Medicago truncatula: one gene and its partner. The protein of the gene in region 1 interacts with the protein of each later gene in a pairwise test. Links are inferred from orthologs where the notes say so. Each region holds a gene or a part of one and is shown on either strand. Other genes may lie near its edges. The genes, in order: RNA-binding protein with multiple splicing 2 and protein BTR1.

Evidence for each region.
Region 2: the proteins of RNA-binding protein with multiple splicing 2 (region 1) and protein BTR1 interact in a two-hybrid assay, tested with the Arabidopsis thaliana proteins (2 studies listed by BioGRID). The link is inferred for Medicago truncatula from reciprocal best matches to the Arabidopsis thaliana genes AT3G21215 and BTR1L.

What each region holds. Positions count from the first base shown.
Region 1 is NC_053045.1:436,125-447,077, forward strand, and holds RNA-binding protein with multiple splicing 2, read left to right. Parts: upstream 1-3,580; 5' UTR 3,581-3,758; coding exon 3,759-3,860; intron 3,861-3,940; coding exon 3,941-4,196; intron 4,197-4,450; coding exon 4,451-4,580; intron 4,581-4,883; coding exon 4,884-4,998; intron 4,999-5,743; coding exon 5,744-5,835; intron 5,836-5,944; coding exon 5,945-6,014; intron 6,015-6,109; coding exon 6,110-6,192; intron 6,193-6,611; coding exon 6,612-6,708; 3' UTR 6,709-7,188; downstream 7,189-10,953. Other genes in the region: D-3-phosphoglycerate dehydrogenase 2, chloroplastic, read left to right, coding at 1-58, 201-311, 403-498, 692-1,363.
Region 2 is NC_053042.1:44,621,139-44,632,091, reverse strand, and holds protein BTR1, read left to right. Parts: upstream 1-4,215; 5' UTR 4,216-4,372; exon of another isoform or gene 4,373-4,491; 5' UTR 4,492-4,554; coding exon 4,555-4,642; intron 4,643-6,508; coding exon 6,509-6,747; intron 6,748-6,838; coding exon 6,839-6,945; intron 6,946-7,283; coding exon 7,284-7,477; intron 7,478-8,396; coding exon 8,397-8,521; intron 8,522-9,524; coding exon 9,525-9,620; intron 9,621-9,708; coding exon 9,709-9,770; intron 9,771-9,900; coding exon 9,901-9,994; 3' UTR 9,995-10,385; downstream 10,386-10,953.

The DNA of each region.
Region 1 (10,953 bases):
TGGTGTTATTGATGAAGATGCTTTAGTCAAAGCTCTTGATAGTGGAATTGTTGCTCAGGTCAACCCTTTTTTTTACTTCAAATCTACATGTAGTTGAAGCACATGAAGTCGTGATTAACAAACAATGTTCAAATTTGAAATTAATTAGTTATCTGTTAACCATTCAAATGACATTTCTATTTTGTTTGAACTTGGAGCAGGCAGCTCTTGATGTGTTCACTGAGGAGCCTCCAGCCAAAGACAGTAAGTTAGTGCAACATGAGAATGTGATTGCTACTCCTCATCTTGGAGCCAGCACCAAAGAAGCACAGGTTTGTTTTTCTTTAATATCCTACTTCCATTTGTTTTAGCTCACATTATTTCCTTACCAAGTTGTTTTTCTTACCAATTTTGACTCAATAGGAGGGTGTGGCTATTGAAATAGCAGAGGCTGTTGTTGGTGCATTGAATGGTGAACTTTCAGCAACTGCTGTCAATGCTCCTATGGTTGCTCCTGAGGTAAACAAAACAACCTCATTGTGACATTATTATGCTTTTCTCGAATAAAGACCATAGCCAGCCTCCACGAAAATCAGAATTGAATTACAAGTAGTTTAGACATTGGTCAAATTTGTGACATCTATGATTGATGTGCATTGTTCTTCTTTTTCTTCTATTTTATTTCTGTCATAACTGTTGGCAATTTCATCAGGTATTATCAGAACTGGCTCCATATGTTGTGCTAGCTGAGAAGCTAGGAAGGTTAGCTGTGCAGTTGGTATCCGGAGGAAGTGGAATCCAGTCTGTAAAAGTGGTTTACCGATCAGCCAGGGGTCCCGATGACCTTGACACTAGACTTCTTCGAGCCATGATCACAAAAGGCATCATTGAACCAATATCAAACACAATTGTCAACCTTGTAAATGCTGATTACATTGCGAAGCAAAAAGGCCTTCGCATAAGCGAGGAAAGAGTAGTGGTCGATTCGTCTCCTGAACTACCTGTTGAGTCAATCCAGATACAGATATCCAATGTGGAGTCCAAATTCGCGAGTGCTGTATCAGAGACTGGTCAGATAAGCATTGATGGAAAAGTGAAGTACGGTACACCACACCTTACATGTGTGGGATCTTTTGCTGTGGATGTGAGCTTAGAAGGGAATCTGATTTTGTGCAGACAGATTGATCAACCTGGGATGATTGGTACTGTCGGAAACATATTAGGCGAGAAAAATGTGAATGTGAGCTTTATGAGTGTTGGAAGAACATCGCGTAGGAAGAAAGCGCTTATGGCTATTGGCGTCGATGAAGAGCCAAATAAGGAAGCTCTTGAGAATATTGGAGCTGTGCCTGCTATTGAGGAGTTTGTGTTTCTCAAGCTTTAAATAGATGATTCATAAATATATGAATTTCATCTTGTGATTGTTAGAAAGTAATACTATATATATATATAGGTATTGATTGGAGAAATGAAGTTAATGAGTCTCTGATTTTAGTAGAAAGCTTGAGAAATTTGTTATGAAGTAATGGATGATAGAGTATAAATAAAACTAGCTGAAAACAAAAGCAGCTAGTAGTGTGTGACCTGTACTAAGTTTTGTATCATGGTTTTTCTAGCTTTAAATATGTACAAACTATTTGATGTTTGTCTTTTGTAATTGATGTTTTTGTTTGTGACTTTTGTTCAAAGTTGCAAAACTAATGCAATTATTTGAAAGGGAAAAGGTAGGTAAGAATCATAATGTGATGTACCAACCAAGTGGAACTAGCTCTTATAATTTCACAAGCTAGAAGCAATCCATTTGTATTCATCCTTTGATGGTTTATTTACCTATAATCTATTATGGTTAATGAATTTGTCAAACTTTTGTTGTGACTTTCTGTTTTTTTAGTTAAGCTTGTGTTATCTATTATGTTGATAAATTTACGTGTAAATGAATTGCTCATCATAAACAGATAAATTCAGTGTTCCAATTTATTATCTGTCACGGAAAAATTCAATGCTAGTTTGGAACATGTAAAAATGTAAAACAAACAGAATCCGATACTTTTTCAGTTGTTCTTTGGCTAATCAAACCTTAAAGTTTACTTTGTTCTAAATGCATTACGTAGTTCTTGGCGTGCACTAATGAGATTTGGATATTAGTGACTTCGTGGCTGGAAAAATCATGATGACTTTAAGCATATTTTATGAGAGAAAAATTAAAGAGAAATAACATATAAAATGAGATAGAACAATATAAAGAGAGATAAACATAAAGTAATAGTAACTTTTCCATCTTTACAGAACAATTTCAGCAGAGTTTTGACACTTGTAATATTTGGTATTGTTCTCTTTAAAACTCTAAGTCTTCATTTCTTTATATAGAGGTGTGAAAGAGACATTGTGAATTGCCAGCACATCAAAATAGAGTCGTTTGAAGCTTTGATCAATCACCAATGATCTTTTGCCTGATATGGTTACTGTTCTATGAAGGATCAATTTCAAATGCATTCCCATTGTGAAGGAACATCGTTGCAGGCAGAACTGTTTTTCTTGTTTTGTAGCAAAGACAAAGAACAGAGTAGTGGAGGCAGTGGTTGTACACTTCGTACAATCGTACTTTGTCAACGCTCTTTGAAGAACAAACATTCAATGCCTTCAAATCCTTTCAAATTAGCCGTTGCTTCACTTTTCGAGTCTTCTGCAATGCTTAGACGAGATTGAATCCATTGAACAACTTTTGAAGCTTTAAGTTGAATCTCCTGATGAACTGCAGCTTCTGGTGATTTTCAGCTTCTGATGAACTTGCTTCTGATGACGTCACTACTTCATGAACACTTTGTCTTCAGGAGCGCTTTGTCTTCAGGAGCAGTTTTCTTCAGACGCTTTAAGTTTTTTTTTTTTTTTTGTTGATTCCTTTGCTCTTTATTGTTCTTCCAAGACCTTTTTAAATGTCAAATTTTGTCTATAGCCTTGTACACTTGAACAACTATTAGCATATCCAATTGACAATTTTTAATACATTGTTATCATCAAAACTCTCAAGAGTTAATGTTAAACACATTTTGTTCCAACAAATTGCTTTTTTAATTTTTATTTATTTTGGGCTCGTAAACAAAATGGTAAACATCACTAAAACTCATGCATACTTTAAAGTTTCGCATTTAATTATTTTTTTGAAAGGGACATATTGGTTAATTGTTAATACGGTGATATGTGTATTAAATATTTTTTTGGTTAAGACCAATCATTTTTTTTAAAGGAAAAGACCAATTATTAATTTATTTTTTTTTGAAACAAACAATTATGATAATAATAAGTATATTCTGTTATCATACAATATATAATTATTTTCATATTTATTAATTGATATAATAACATATCATTAGGTGTGTATTGATTAAACTCTTTTAATCAAGTTTACACAATTTTCAAGTAAAAGTGGTATTCAAGTTCTTAAAAAAAAAAGTATATAGGATAAGATAAAAATTCCTTAAAAAAAAAAAGTAAAGATAAATTATTTCTCACAGTCTAAATTTTTATTTTATATAAAAAAAAAAAGATAATAGTTTTTGAAGCAAATAATAGGATAAATTATTATAGTCATTAAATGTTGCCACCACAAAAAAAAAAAAAAAAAAAAAAAGCTGGATCACAAGAAAGAAGAGAAAGAAGAGAGTGTGCATCTTGAAGTTGAAGTTGAGAAGTGTTTAGAGTAAACGAACGACACCGGATTTACTAACTGGTGAGTAGTTAGGGTTAGGGTTTCTTTGATTTGTGAATTTTGATTGATACTGATGGCAGCCAACGGCATCCACCCTTACCACCAACAATGGCCTCCCGCCGCCGCTCCTCCTCCTCCTCAACCCACCGCTATTCCTTCCCCTTCCTCCGAAGAGGTACTTCACTCTTCTATTCTATTTATTTCAAATTTCAAATCCAATCTATTATTCAATTCAATTCAATTATGCTTTTTCAGGTTCGAACCATATTTATAACGGGTCTTCCAGAAGATGTTAAAGAGAGAGAACTTCAAAACCTTTGTCGATGGTTACCTGGTTTTGAAGCTTCTCAGTTGAATTTCAAAGCTGAAAAGCCTATGGGTTTTGCTCTTTTCAATTCTCCTCATCAAGCTATTGCTGCTAAAGATATTCTTCAGGATATGCTTTTTGATCCCGAGGCTAAATCTGTTCTTCATACTGAGATGGCCAAGAAAAATCTATTTGTTAAACGAGGTCATTCAATTCTATTTCTATGCCACCTTCACTTCTGATTCAATTGTCTAGTGTCTGCCATGTGTCATTGTACCAACACATGTTATTAGACTAAATTATGGTATTGGTGATCTGTTGAAACTCCAAGGTGGAGGTTTTGTTCAATTCACCTTCACATGCTGTAATTCTGCCAAACATGCACTGTTAATTCAAACATGCACTCACATATTTCATTGTAAATTATATAAGTGTTACTTATTTTGATATTTTTGTAGGAATAGGAGCTGATGCAGTTGCTTTTGATCAAAGTAAACGGTTACGAACAGCTGGGGATTATAATCATACTGGTTACGTAACTCCGTCTCCTTTTCATCCTCCTCCACCACCTGTTTGGGGACCACATGGGTAAACTAACACAAACCTCATCTATATGCGTGTGTGTGTGTGTGTGTGATATGATATGTAAAAACAATGTCGTCAAATAGTGGCTATAGCATAGCAGAATTTGAACAAGTCGCTATTGTTTCGTGATTTGCTATTTAGTACAAAATGTTGTGAAATAGTTGCTATAGGGGATTATACCACTATTGTGCAGTGGAATTAGAAAAACCAATATTTTCCGCGATCAGCAATTGACAACATTGATAAAAAAAAATTGTTTGTTTCTCCATATTATTAACTGAAAGTTTGTTTGTTTTTATGGTCTAGATATATGGCTCCACCACCTCCTCCTCCGTATGATCCATATGCAGGCTATCCTGTTGCACAAGTACCAATGCCTGCTCCTGTGTCTATCGCACCTAGCAGTTATGTTCCAATTCAGGTGAGAATGACTTTAAACTGTTAATGCTACTTTGGTTTCACTCATCTTTTTGTCAATTGTTATATCATTATACCTTCGTGTGCAATTTTGAGCTCGTCATTTATAAAAGAGAAGGTGGAGTTTTTGAATATTCTGTTAGTTATAAGTTCTGTAATGTTTGCTTGTATATTTTTTATTTTAGTTGAAAAGGGCTTGATATTTTCTTTTGTTGGTATAATTATTACCATTTAACTGTTAGAAATTGATCAAGTAACTTATCTACTCACTAATGTGCTCATGAACTGTCCTTGAAGTCCTGAACGGGCACGGGCACGGGCACGGGCACAGCAGAGTTCTAAAATTGTATCTCAAAGTGAATATGGGAGGGGAAGCATTTGTCTTTGTTTTGTTGGATGTATTGTTGACTTAATTGCCATATTCTGCTCGGATTTAGAATCATATTTTAGAGATTTTACATCTCTATTTTAACTACCAAAGAAGGCAAGATTACAGCAACTAATACCTCTAAATTGCTGAATGAATGTTTAAATGTGTTATGTACATCCTACTGGAAAAAATATGATGTTTAAAAGGTCAAACAGAAGTATTGTTTGTTCGAAGTATATTCACAGTTGGTTTTACCTTCGTTATTATCATGCAGTGATGTTGCTCATTTATTTAATAAATGCTTTTTATACTACCGTTAATATTGTTTATCAATGATAGATAGTGAATGCAATGTGTTTACTTTAAATTTTCTGTACAGAACACTAAAGATAACCCTCCTTGCAACACCCTGTTTATTGGGAACTTAGGAGAGAACATTAATGAGGAAGAAGTGAGGGGCCTTTTCAGTGTGTATGTAAAACTTATCCTTTGACACAGGCTCTTTTGTTCAGTTTATGTAGCATTTTCTATGCCGTGTCATATATTGGATTAATCTGTTGAACTTGGCTTTGTAATGCAGACAACCTGGTTTTAAGCAAATGAAGATTATAAGGCAGGAGAGGCATACAGTTTGCTTCATTGAGTTTGAAGTCTGTAAACTTTGTTCATATTTGTGCCTTTTATTGTCTGGATCTTTTCTGATTTATGTTTACGCTAATACTTGGTATTCAATAACCTATTGCAGGATGTGAATAGTGCTACAAATGTGCACCACAATCTGCAGGGTGCTGTTATCCCAAGTTCTGGTTCAATTGGCATGCGGATACAATATCCTTTTTTATTGTTGAGCATCTTAAGCTTTGTTTTCTTGATTTTTTTCTTTCATTCATGTTCATTCTCTAATTAACCCAGCATCCGGGGTTTATGACTGGGAAATAGTAGAATACATTAGAAGTTTTTGCTTAAATGCTCGCACTTATTCCAATTTACCATGCACTTTTCTTCACTGATACTGGAACCATGAGTTTCTTTCATTTGTTTTTTCAATGCCAAAACTAAGTATCGGTAAATTCAGGCCCAAAGCTTCATATTTGTTGAATGATGATTCTTGCTTACATTTCTTATCTCTCAATGTGCATTCAACATACACTCATACTTTGCATTCAATTTGGTATAAACCTAGTTGTGATTTCTCAATTCTGTTGTAGGCAAGGAATTCTTTTGTACTTTTCTTGACTTCTTAGCAGATATTCCAAAAATCCATTTGGAAAAAGAAAAGATGGAACCTACCCTATGGCTGTTCCTGGTGCCAATGGAGCTCCAGTAGCAATGACTTATCAGTAGCTTGAAGGGGATGTACTCTGTTCTTTATGCTTCAACCAATATTACTACATTATAGGATGCATCTTGCAGCTGTTTCATGCATCCATTGATTATCAAGTCATCGCCATTATCATCACTGCTCATGTTAATGAATGCACCGTGGCATCATATACATACACTTGGCTATGTTATACTAATCAGACATGCATTTATCGGCAGCATGTGTTGGTTCCCAGATTAGTTTCATAGGTGTTTAGATGGCGTTATCATTTGTAGGAACCGTGCATGTGTCTAAATTTTGTTTGAAATGTGCTTTATGGTCATTAGACTTTTCTGTATACATTGGTATTTAGGGATGCTTATCCAAACAGGCATTGGTATCTGCTTCCAACTTTAGGTTCATGTGTTGTTTATTTGACATGACATATTATTGTGATGCTTTCTTTCTTTTCATGGCACGGCTTGACATGACATCAATGATCCATCTACCCTTTCCACTCATTACTATTGTCATTACACCACATTTTTAGCCTTCTGTTTTTCAAATTTAGTTTCTGTAAACTGGGGGCGTACTTTAGGCGATAAAATATGGTGTTATAATCGGTGATTAGAAAATTAATGGTTGAAATTGGCATAACTATGTAATTAACTATGAAGTTCGTAAAATTCATTTGTTTGATTTTTGAATCACCGAATATAACTTGTAATTTGTCTTCTAAAGTACACTCCCAAGCTTTTTAAACTACATCCACCCTGGCATTCATGACTCCATTTGATCACAACATTAATGTTAAATGCGTTGAAGTTAAAACTATTTAAAGGATTCTCCGGAGTTATATGTTGTCTAATTTATACAGGGTTGCAACATGACAAAGCTTCCTTTCATAATGGAAGGTCCATTTCTGCTACTGCCATATTGTTGCAGGTAATTTTTGTTTGCACGGGTAAGGCAAACTACCATCAAATTTGGTTGGAACGTCTGTTGGATATCAAGTGAAGCAGCCATTGAATTATAGGTGCCCTATGACTACGAATTTCTTATAAACCGAAAAATGTTAGTTTTGTGCAAGAATTGGATGTTTATACTGTCAAGTTTTATTTGTGTAGAAGATATTGGTAGGCTAATTTTAATACAACTAGAGGATAATAGAGTCATTCTGGGATCCTCATCCTGCCATCAATTTTTTTGGATAGGCAAATGTCATTCTGATAGTAGAGTCATTTGATCATCATGATTTTAAATAGGGGTGGCAAATGGATTGATTGGATGGATATGGATTTGGATCCTAATGGATGGATCAAAAAAGGTCCATTAGTTTATTACAATCCACTATTTTTTTTTCTTAAAAAAAACCATCCAGTCCATCCAATTAGAATAAAGTCCATCCAATCCATCCATTATTAGATTTTAATGGATGGATAATCCATCCGATCCATAAATCAAAGTGTATAATTTTTTTTAAAGTGTATTATTTTTTTTTATAGGTGAATTATTTTTTTTAAAGTGTATTATTTTTTGATAGGTGTATTATCAAAAAAACTTATTACGATCTCTTTTAAAAAAAAACAGTTTATTTATGCAAAACAACTTATTAGGATCTCTTTTGAAAAACAGCTTATTTATACAAAATAAATTATTATGATCTCATTTTCAAAAACAGCTTATTTAAGCAAAACAACTTATTCTGATCTCATTTTCAAAAACAACTTATTCAAAACAGCTTATTTATGCAAAACAGATTATTTCGATCTCATTTTCAGAAACAGCTTATTCAAAACAGCTTATTTATTAAAAATTGCTTATTATGATCTCATTTTCAAAAACAGCTTATTCATGCAAAACAGCTTATTTATGCAAAACAACTTATTTCGATCTCATTTTCAGAAACAACTTATTCAAAACAGCTTATTTATGCAAAATAGCTTATTATGATCTCATTTTCAAAAACTGCTTCTTCAAAACAGCTTAATTATGCAAAACAGCTTATTATGATCTCATTTTCAAAAATAGCTTATTCATGAAAAACAACTTATTTATGCAAAACAGCTTATTTATGCAAAACAGCTTATTATAAGTTGTTTCGAATATGCTGTTTGTTCTAACTCATTGTTGGCTTTCCTTTTGTAGAAAGATGGTTAAATTGTGCATCTTCTTTAATGGTTTAAGTTGCATAGCATTACTGCTCCTCTAACTAAAATATTCAAATGTAGATAGATTTGGTATGCATAGCATTAATGCTCCTCAAACTAAAATTTTCAAATGTACATGGACTTGGAAGGAGCTGACATCATGCAGAACAGTTGTTATGAAAGTTATTATTGTTGGTCGGTTAGGATTAGATTTATAATTTACTCGTGAAAAAACCACTTCTAGATAAGTACTGCACTGCTTCATTTATATATGAATATGGTACATTTTTGAATCAAATGGTATATTTTTTAATCAATTTCTAAAATGTACAAACCATATAACTGCAACTGTATTCCACACCAAATCAAACCACTGCAATTGCATTCAAATTCCAAATATAAACCTTTCAACTGTATACCAACAGCAAAATTCAAACCCAAAATCCAAATTTATGATTCCTTATCACTTGTTTAAACAATCTTGCACTTCAAAAATGGCCATGATGATGATAACAGTTAACATATAAATTAAAACAATATCAGAATCACAAACATTAACTGATAAACTGAGAAAGATTCAAATGGTAAAAAGGCCAAATTCATGAATTTTCATTAATCTCTTCCAAAGGAACAAGCTTAGATAAATATATCCACATAAACGTCATTTAACTAAACCCCTAACTAGAACTACAAAGACATTGATTCTTCAAACTAAATTTAACACAATTAACTCAAGTTTTTCAGCTAAGATTCATTCATTCATCATCAGCACCCTTGGTGTTACCACCAGCTTTCTTTGGAAGCAACAAGTTGTGAATATTGGGCATAACACCACCATTAGCAATAGTAACATCACCAAGAAGCTTGCTCAATTCTTCATCATTCCTCACAGCCAATTGAATGTGTCTTGGCACAATTCTTGTACTAACTCATACAAGATTTAGTAAGAAACAACACTGCACTAGATACCAAATTAACTGAGGGATAGATCATATAGAAATTTCAATACTCAAATCAACTTGACCTTATTTAGCAACATTAGACCATGTAGTCAACAAATCTGGACCATCTGATCTTACAGCTCATATTTCAAATTTATCTTTCACATTTGTTTACATCTGATTTACTGAACTTAAAATGTGAGACTTTCATCAATATCGGAGAATCCAGAATTATTAACACAAAACCAGGAATAGTCCCTCATGTTACTACAAAATATACTCAAAGTTGACATACATGATACACTACATGATACCAGAAGAATATGTAAATTCACACTACATGATACATGAAGTTAATCACTTTTACATGGATGATTTATCGAAGTTAATCACTTTTACATGGTTAAGTGAAAAATAAACAATCATCAGAAAATCTTCAAACGTTGTCAAACAAACAACTATGAAAACACAACAAAATCAACTAAGAAAACACAAACAACAACAATCTCAGATAACCCAATTCATAAAACGCAACAAAATCACATTACAATATAATAGAGACTCACAAAGGCACAGAAGAATCGATTTCAGATTTGAAGAGGAAGAATCGAATCGTCGGAATCGATTTCAGATTTGAGAAACAGATACTGATTTCAGTTTTGAATCGATTTCAGTTTTGAATCGATTAGGAAGTAGGAATTTGGGTTCAGTTTTTCAGATTTCAGTTTTGAATCGATTTCAGATTTGAAGAGAAATTTGGGGAAGAAATTAGGGTTCAGTTTTACTTGGGAGAAGAAATAAGCTATTCACTATTTAGCTTTTAATTTTTTTAATTGTTTGTTTTTTTGTTTTAATTTGTTATTTTTTTAATCAAATGATCCATTGGATAAAAAATAAACAATAAAAAGTGATCCATTGGATCTTTAAAATCAATTGGATGGACTAGATCCATCCATATTGTTTAATGGATGGATTGGATACAATCCATTAAAAATAAAAAATGTTTTATGGATGGATTTGATGGATTTTATAGTGAATGGATTGGATGGATATGGATTTCATGGATCTAATTGCCACTCCTAATTTTAAACTTATAAAAACTTTTTGCTTTGAACTCTTAATCTCACACACTTATTGAGTTTTATAGTGGAAATGACATTTTAATATCTAGTTTTTGGGCATTAAATGAGGGCCA
Region 2 (10,953 bases), on another chromosome or scaffold:
AAAGCTGAAATTGAAAACGAGAGAGTTTTACAGAGAGCGAGAGAGATTATAGTGTTTTAAATTGTGATTTTGCATTTGGGTGTGGAATGGTTTATATAGAAATGGTTAATGGTCTCTGATTGGTTGGTTTTAGAATTAGCGGATAGGTGACGTGGATGCTACATTTAGGGTGCATTTCCCATTTTGCCCCTCACCATTTTTTAAATTATTTTATAATTTTTATATTTTTAATAACTTTTGTAATTTTTATATTTTTAATAACTATTTTTCAATTTTTATTTTTTTTAACTATTTTTTAATTTTTTCATCTAAATTCAGTTGCTTCTACATTGTCGTTGTGGGAGATTAAGATATTGTTTGACCCGGTTTTTTTTCCAACTTCTCTACATTTTTAAGGAGAAGTTAGGTCAAACACACTATCAATTATTTTAATTTCAATATTGTTTAATCATCACAACCTCCCAAATATTTTTATTCAGACTGTCATTTAGTGATACCAAATACTTTTATTTCCTTTATTCAACCTCGCAAATATTTACACACATACATTAACGTTTAGAGTAATATTTTATGTCCGTTTGTCTGTGTTTTTTTACGCTCATGCATATAATTTTTTTTAGTGTTGCTTGGTTGAGTGCTACCTCACCGATTTTTTTAACTATTTTCCAATTTTTATATTTTTAAAAACTTTTAACTATTTTCCAATTTTTTCTTCCAAATTCAGTTGCTTCTACACTGCCGTTGTGGGAGATTAAGATACCGTTTGACCCGGTTTTTTTTTTTACTTCTCTACATTTTTAAGGAGCAGTTAGGTCAAACACAATATCAATTAAGTACTTATTAGAAAGGGAACTTTTTTTAATTCATAAAATTGAATGGAATGAGCTTTGGCCAAAAGTTCTTGAATGCTACTTTAAAAAACTACTTCTAGACAATATATTTCATAAGCACCTCTTTTCAACTCATGCTAAGAACCTTTTCTTTTATTTTTTAATATTATATTTCAATATGTTTTCTTTTCATTTAACTTTATTTTATTTTATTTTTTGAACTGTTAGATTTAATTTTATTATCTTTTTTTTCAAAAGAATTTTATTATCTTTTTATCACTTATATATTTAATTTCAATATTGCTTAATCATCACAACCTCACAAACATTTTTATTCACGCTGTCATTTAATTATATCAAATATTTTTATTTCCTTTCTTCAACCTCGCGAATACACACACACATTAACGTTTAAAGTAATATTTTATGTTCGTCTGTCTGTTTTTTGTTACGTTAATGCATATAATTTTTTTTTGCTTGGTTGAGTGCTACCTCACCGATTTTTTTTAACTATTTTCTAATTTTCATATTTTTAAAACTTTTGACTATTTTTCAATTTTTTTATTTTTAACTATTTTCTAATTTTTTTCTCCCAAATTCAGTTGCTTCTACACTGCCGTTGTGAGAGATTAAGATACCGTTTGACCCAGTTTTTTTCAACTTCTCTACATTTTTAAGGAGAAGTTAGGCCAAGTATAATATCAATTAAGTACTTACTAAAAAATGGACTTTTTTTAATGTATAAAATTGAATAGAATGAGCTTTGGCCAAAAGTTGTTGAATGCTACTTCAAAAAACTACTTATCGACAACTTATTTCACAAGCATCTCTCTTCAATTCACGTTGGGAACCTTTTCTTTTATTTTTTAATATTATATTTCAATATATTTGTTATTCAATGAAGCCATTTCTACTTGCATTTAAATCATGCATCAAGTAAAAAAGTGATTTCAATGCATAGTGAAAAATTCATTTCAATGCATAACTAGATGTGGAAGTTGATGCTATTATGCTCTGAGGGAAAGAAAAAAAGAGAGATTGTTTGTTTCTTCCTAGCACGACAAAAATTGAGTGAGGGTCCTAAGAATGAGCTAAAACCTGAAGTGGATTTATGTGTGCCAAACAATCCTTCCTAATTAGCACCATCATAACAAAAAATTTGGACTTTTGAACTTCTTGGAAATAAGAGACCACAACCAAGGTTTTATTTGGGATATCTAACCACTCTACAAGTTGTATCGAAGTCAGTAATGACGGGAGCATGTAAAATTGGACAAGTTTTTGTGTGATAAATGTAATATATGGTCTACATACACCGAAAGTGTTGTAAAATCGTCATCATGCTTCAAGGTGAAGAGACAATGGTCTGAACTTGATCTTCATCATGTTTCTCAATTCTCATACCACTTTCAACTTACTTGTTTGAGGCCATACAAGCTCTCTCACAATTTCCACACCTTGTCGCTGTTTAGCATAAGATACACCTTCAAGAATGGTCATGTAGACATATAATTGAAGAAAATGTGAAACTACTGATTGTTGTCGATGCAAATAGATACAACATAAAGGGCGTTAGTTATAGATTTTTTAAGAAAAAAATAACTTAAAAAAAAAAATCACTTTTAAGAGTGTTGCATCCATTTGTTACAGCTTCTCAAAAAATATATTTTTTTAAGAAGAGATAGAAAATATGTTTTAAAAGATTGAACTAATTTTGTAACGAAAAATCTCTCTTATGTAGTTGTATCCAATGTATTTACAATTAATTTTGTTTAATAATACAGTTGAGATACACCATATTCTATGTTTAATAATTCATTTGAGATACAGGTTTAATAAAAACACAAGGATCAAAATTGCATTAATAATCAAATATAAGTACAACTTAGTTGATAGCTACGGAGATATCGATAAATGGAGGCTTTAATTCAAACATTCGATTTCTCATTTCTTCTATTTTAAGTTGTGTTAGTCCGATCACTAAAAATCGCGTCAATACTATAATAGGAATGAAAAAAATGAAATGAAATTTATAGTGTATATATATATATATATATATATATATATATATATATATATATATATATATATATTATTTTTTCATAAAGGAAATAGATATACCATTGTTTATATTTTCAACTTTGTTTATATTTTTTTAGTATATATGTCAAAAAAAACCTCAAAACAATTGTACCAAACACTCCACTCAAGAGTTAGGAAAACTGCTATTGATGGGCAAAGTTCCTCCTTCAATGTCAATCGTTTGAAGAAAAGGGAATCATAATCGAGAATATCAACCAAATCTCAACTAAATCCTTGCTCAATCAACACCAACAAAGAGAAAAAGGGAAAGTTTATATTTTGGGTTCTTTTGATCCCGACATATGACATTGACTCATACGACAAAGTAGCTTTCCAACGTCAAAGGCGGAAGATCGAATCTATATCTTGAGAGACTGAGTTAAAAAGTGAAAAAAATACCACTACTTTTTAAGAAGAATCTGTCTATTGATTTATAGCAAAATTACATTTAAAAATGACTTTTTTTGACAAAACATCTAAAAATAAATTGAATTTGGTACATGATTTTAATGCGTTCAATGACTTTTTATGGTTTGAAAAGATTTTTTGAGGATACTTATACTCATAGTAAAAATCAAAATTTTATTATTGTCATCTTGTGAGTGCAGTTTAGTTGGTGGTTGCATGAATTTTGTTGTAATATTTTCGTTTCCACACTTAAAGCGCGTAATTAGTCATTAAACTATATGACAAAAAAAATATGATTATTATATTATTATTTTTTTTCAAAGATTATTATATCATTAATATTGAAAGCTATTATTTTTTTTAGTATTTTAAAATTGTACCTAAAATAAATGGAAAAGTGGAAAAATATTGAACGCTATTATTAAAAAGCTTTATTTTGACATTTTATAAAAAAGTTTTGTTTTGATGTAATATTATAACCCTGTCAAACTCATCTAATGGATGAAGATTGAATGATACAAATTTTATATTTAAATTTAAAATTTTCTTAAATATAAGTTTCAAACTTATAATCTAAATCATCTAATCTTAATTAAACGATTCAGATGCCACCTTGACAATAGGGGCCACCAACCAGCACACAAACCCGGTCTATTTATCATTGCATTATTACCCGAAATAACGAATGAAATCATAATTTCTAGAATTTGACTTTTCTTCTGTAAAATAAAAAATAGTTTCAATAATTCAATTTACGGTACTACATAAACATCACAGCAGTAGAATTGAATTGACGGTGATGATAATATCTGTTTCTTCCGTAGTAAGGCAATAAGGTAAAATTGCGATTCATTTCAGTGGGTCGGGACGTGAGAAAGAGAAACACACACGCACACACACATTGACACCTCACACACAACGCAGCAGCATATTATCGATTATCGATAGATAAACAAAACAAAACGTGACGTTGCGGTGGGTATTACAGAAACAAAACAAAACAAAAACCGCAGCACCAACTTCTTCTTCTCTTCTCTTCTTCTCATTCCGCCGTATTCACTTTTTCTCTCACTCTTTAACACTTTTCGCCATTACTACTATGTAACTTTCTCTCTCTGAATTAACTGTCAATTTTCCTTCTCTCTATCTCTCTCTCTCTCTCAAACAAAGGAGTGAGAATTAGGTTTCTTATTGTTGCTGTTGCTGTTGCTGAAGTCGTTGTCCAAGAACAACAATGGAGTCTCCTGAATCTTCTTACGTGTCATCTCCAGAAGGACCGAGGAAGCACGCTTCTTCACCTCCTCCTGATTCACCTTCACAAGGTATATCTATCTCTTCCGATCTGATCTGTTTTCTCTCTCTGTAATGTACATAGGTCAACGTTTTCATTCTCAACCCTAATTCTTCACAATGCTCCCTCGCTCGCTACTTCTTGTATATTTTAGATTTTAATATATATTTTTATTTTTATTATATGAGTAGAAACGTTATCCTGTTATATATTTTGAATTTTGTTTATTACTTTAATTTTACTGTATATATATATATTTTTTAAAGTTTTGGTAATTAACATTATGATTTTGTAGTGAATTAATTGTTCTGAATCTGTACGTTTCTTCACTTCTTAACTTAATTGGACTATACTAGTCGTGAGCCAAATTAATTGATGAGAAGGAAAATATACTCTGTTTTTTTGTTTTTGTTTTTGTTTTTATCCTGTTTCTTACGGCGTGTTTGTTTATTCTGTTGAGTTTGGCCATAAGCATTAATTTGTGTTCAAAATTTTCAACGTGTAACCAAACAGGGACTGCAGTTAAATGGAAATTTTCAGAGAAGTTTTATGTTGTGAAAGATTGGAGTTAATTTGGATTTGACTAAATCTAAGCTATGTTTTACTATATACTGTTACCAAATTAGAATTGAAATTAATAACGTAATTAAAATTTCACTGCGACGTTTATATTTGATGGAAAAGGTTTTAAGGTTTAATCCGATATGGTATTTATTTAGCGCAAGTTTGGTACCACAGTGAGTTGACGGGAATCACGGCGAGCCACCTACACACACTTAGAGTTGGGTGTGAAAAGTTCAGAGTTATTTGTCTTGCGATTTTATTTTTTGTCTTGGATATTGAAGGGAAGAATAATCTGTTTTCGTAATATGCGCTAAAATTGTTATTAAATATAAAATATGGAAAAGAGAATCATGCTATAGAATTCTTGTTTGAAATTATCAAATTTGGACGTTTATTAAGCTTTTGTGTTAGTGAGAGGCAGAACAACCTTCACACTTCACACATTTGTGCGATTAATTTAGGACTTTGTCATTTTCTTGCTTGCTAGGACAGTTATTTGATGTATGAACTCTGCATTTGTTTTGTTTTGTTTTGTTTTGTTTTGTTTTATGGGTACAAAAGCACGTTGTTCCTGGAAAATGCAGTGATATAATTTTAAGAATGTTTTTTTAGGCAATTTTCAGAATGCTTTTGTAAAACTATGAAATTTAAATTGATTTATTTTACCAACTACACCGATTATCCATGTTGTTAAATAATTGGTACGGCGCCGCTATACCGCTATTATGTATCGGGATTTCAAGCAACAGCGACGAAATCCCATACGCTATTGTGATCTCGCTGCCGCTGCAATAGCCGTGGCTTTTTGCATATTGGAGATAGCGGTTATTGTTTCATAGGGGAAGTTATTGTTTTTAATATTTTTTTTCTCCAATGGACATTAAAACTATCATGTGAGCTGCACATATTTTTAAAAACATTAAAAATTAAATAATGCTGAATCGGTGATGAGATGGGGGTCGTATGTAACCCCAAGACCTAGGTAAAGTGAAAACCTCTCGATCACTAAAACTCTTTTGCCTCTCCACTTTCTTTCTTCACTTCATACTTCATCATGCTTTAATAGTTGTTTGAACTACTGAAATTTTAAGTTTTATGTCGGTCACTTTTTAAATTTCTGTTTATTTGTGCACATCATGCTTTATTTTATGTATAATTCTTTATTTCAACTGCTTTGTGGCTTTCTCTATTTGCCTGCGTCACTATCCGCTATTTCCCATAGCGGATTTTTGGTGATCCGATATTTTCCACGATCCGCTATTAATAACACTACTGATAATTTTTTTATATATTTGATTCTTTGTGATCATTTTTACATAATGTTCACTTTCAGATTCTGTAGAAAAGCCAACGTATGTTAGGTTTCTGGTATCAAATTCTGCTGCTGGTTCTGTTATTGGTAAGGGTGGTTCAACAATCACTGATTTTCAGTCACAATCTGGAGCACGAATCCAGTTGTCACGCAATAATGAATTCTTCCCTGGAACCACTGATCGGATTATCATGGTATCTGGTGCAATCAATGAAGTACTAAGAGCTGTAGAGCTCATTCTTTCAAAGTTGCTCAGTGAGGTAATAACTATGATATTGATTCAATTAGTTACTAGAATAAAATATGTCTTGCATTGCAGGTTTCTGAGCTTAATTTGCTTTATATGATTAGCTTCACAGCGAGGATGACAATGATGTTGAGCCAAAAACAAAAGTGAGACTCATTGTTCCTAATGGTTCTTGTGGTGGAATAATTGGGAAGGGAGGTGCTACCATTAGGTACAATTCATTTTCTTTGTCAAGTTGTAGGGCTTACCTGTTTACCATATTTATGAAATTAGTACTGATCAAATTAGTTTTTGATACTTATGCCTTTTGATTTGTGTTTTGGGAATATGTTTTGATTTCAAGAGGTTGTCCCTTATATGAATGCTGGTTCTTTGGTGTCAGAGCTTTTATATCCCTATGGCCTATGCTTCCCCTGCTAAAAATAAGCATGTTATTGTCAGGCCGGCTGTTATTTTTCATCGCATGATCCTTTATTTTTTAATTTTTTTTAATGTTATTCAGAGATGGGGGTAAAAAGCTTACCTTATGAATTCTTTGCCTTTGATCAGGTCATTCATTGAAGAATCTCAAGCTGGCATTAAAATATCTCCTCAAGATAATAGTTACTATGGACAAAATGATAGGATAGTAACAGTGACAGGAACTCTGGATGAGCAGATGCGTGGAATTGATTTAATTGTTTCTAAATTAGCTGAAGATCCTCATTATTCACATTCCATGAGTTCTCCGTTTACATATTCTGGTCAGTGTCGTTTATTTGTTCCACGGAATATCTCTTATCCATTTTTGTATTTCGCTAATACTTATATACTTTGGAGCACCTAATATGGACGAAGGCAGTAGTTTCTAATCTTCATAATGACTCTTCATTATCCTCCATTAGCCCTGTTTATGTATGGACCCCTGGGATTAGTCTTCTTTCACCTTCGTTGCAGGAAGGAAGTAGATGGAGGCATTACTTTAATTAGTATATCTTCCCAACATATTGTTAGTTTAGCTTGTTAAGTTCATACATTTATACTCTTTTGCTTTCTTTTTAATGAGCCGGGCCCATCTGTCTTTCTTCTGATTGTATTACTGACTTATACATCAGGGATAGTAATGGTAAGGAAATGTTCTTTTTACAAATTCAAATAGTATACTATGTCAAAATATTTAATATATCCTTGTGTATCTGTGTGAAGGTAAAATATGATTAAGATGGTTTCATAATCCATTTGAGTAACACCTGTGATTCATAGAATCCATTTCGTTTTCACCAGATAAGGAATACTTACAAGAGAAGTTGAAAATGAGTTAAAATATCTTAATGTCATTTGAATTTTAGGAATAATAGGTGCAAGGTTAATACACCCATGTAACCGACCCCACTTAGTGAGAAAAGACCGGCTCTTGTTCTGAAAGAGTAAGAGTGGTAAGGATCATACTCTTGGTGATAGTGTGATTTTGGTATTACGCCAAAAAGGTCGAGGCCCAATACTAATTATGGTAGTCTAATACAGCAATTTACTCATTTTTGGGAGCATTTATTTTTAAAATATGAGGGTATTGTCTATTTTTATGGTAGTAAAGTGATGGTTATGTAGATTTATCATGTTTTGTCTTGTATGGATAACTTCGTGTGTTTGATGCTAAGTACAACTTTTTAACATGCATTTTAGGTGCTTATGTCTCGGGTTATCAGGGTGTTCCATATACATATGTGCTTCCATCTGTTGCACCACCAGCATACAACGGAGTGAATTACAGACCTAATGGTACTGGAGCAAAGTTCCAGAACAGCAAGGTTTTCCTCATTCCATCAATTTAATCTTGTTAATGGTTTCTAATGTTTCAAGTTGCCAAGCTTTCAAACACACACACGCACTCAAATCGAATGTTGATTAAAGCTATCTATACCTTAGTCATTGCTACTTAATAAATATATCGTACTTGTAATTGCGATTGAGAGTATGTTGTTTTATGTCACTGCAGTTTATTTTTTATTCTAAAGGGGAATGTAGAGACAGGGAAATGATTCTAGAAAACAAAATGTGGCATTCAAAATGAATATGTTTTGTTGTGTTCACAGAACTTCATATGGTGTTTTTATATAATAGTGCAATATCTAATTAGCTAAAAGGGTGCCAGTTTGTGTTTTTGGCACATGCCTGTTCATAATTTCTGACATGAATGGATACTAACATGTTGGATGATTGGAAGGAAAGGTGATGCATAGATACAATGGTTTTTAAGGAATCAAACCTTTGAAATATTTGCATAATACATACAGTCTCATAAAGGTTTTTTTTATATAGTTTCTTCATTCACCTTGTAATGTTGCTTGCCCTAACACTAACAAATAATTTTTAAATTGGTGTAACTGTGGCGTAAGATTAAATCAGTTCTCTTGACATTTCACATGACAGGCTGATATATTTGACCTGTGCTGGTTCAAGATTTAGTTTTTCTTACTATATTTTAGGGATTTGTTACTACATTTGGCTCACTTTCCACCTATTTTGTTGTTTTACAATTTGTTTTCTTCAACTCAACATGCTATCGTGAGTTAACTTATATGTCTATTACTAATGGTGAATTTAGTGAATAAAATAAGCTACTCATCTTTGTTTAAAACCATGCGTCCTCGTGTAATGATGATTTCCTATGAGTTATATACTTATATATCTATTACCAATGTTGAATTTATGAATGAAAAACTATGTATCTTTTATTAAATTCATACATCCACGTGTAATGGTGATTTGCTCTATGAGTCTGAACTGACATACTTCTTTGTTGTCTTCCAGGAGGATCGAAGTAACTCAATGACCATTGGTGTTGCAGATGAGCATATAGGATTGGTTGTTGGCCGCGGTGGAAGGAATATATCGGATATTAGTCAGGTCAGGTTTACCAATGCCTAATGATTTTGCATGGTATAATGTGATTGCTTATATAATAAACTAACTTGACTAATTTTTGCCCTTTCAGACTAGTGGAGCAAAGATAAAGATATCAGACAGAGGCGATTACATTTCTGGAACAACTGATAGGTTAGTTTTGTTCACTTACATTTTTCCTTCACTCATCCCTCAAGTATAACGAAAGCCAGCAATCAAATTCCTTGTATACTTTATTTTACAGCAGATGTTTTACGGGTGTTTCTATTTCCTTGTTATGCAGGAAAGTTACCATAACAGGATCGCAGAGAGCAATTCGCACGGCTGAATCTATGATACTGCAGAAGGTTGCTTATGCTACCGAGAGAGTGGAGTAGTATTCTGCAAGTTCACCTGTCTACTGTTAGATTCTTGGTGAACCTGCTTGCTCTGCTCATACATTTGCTGAATTTTGGGATTTGTTTACATAAAATTATCTGTCACTTAATATACTTTTGAAGATCTTTATTGTAGTGGGAGAGGGCAGGTTTCTTTCTTTCTTGAACTTAGACCGTTCTTACAGGATTTCTTCTCAAACCCATTCAAAAGATAAGAACTATTGGAAAGGGCTTTCGTGCTTTTCCAAATGTAGTATTTAGAACTATATTATTCTTTTGTTGTAAGTCAACAGTTGCTAATATCATATATAGAGTGGACAATCCTTTTTCTATCCTGGCAGCAGTTGACCTATATCTTCAATTACTGGCCTGAGATAAGATCTGAGAGTTATTTATTTGCAGTGATAGCAATTGGGAATTAAGAATTCACTTGTGGGTTGTCAGAACCCTACACCCTCAAGTTGTGATGTGTGTGCATGTTATTTCATGTTTATTGGTTGTCATTATTCAGAATCCGTTGAATTTACTTATATTTTGTATTTGATTAATCTGATGGCTTGATCAATGGTTAGAAGTGTGGTTGATACTTCAGATAAAATAGAATTAAAATGTTAAAAGCTTGTCAAGTTTTCTTTATAAGTAAGTTGATAAAGTCATCACCACGATTATTATTTCTTAAAACAAAGCTCCAACATTATTTACATGAGTAGATGATATGAAAGTGAAACTTATTTTTCGCGTTAACAGTTTATCGTATTTTCCCATCTAGATTGACGAGGTTGTGTTGGCTTCAAAAGTTCTAGGCATTTTTGACAGGTGTAGTTGTAAAAGTTATGTTGTTTGTTCAAGTCTATTCATGCATTGTAAAGGTATAAGCACGCGGATTGAAGCTTTTTGAAAGCGGTGGTCGAACTTAGTTTGGTTACGTCAGGATTGACATCTGCTTGGTTTCACATTTA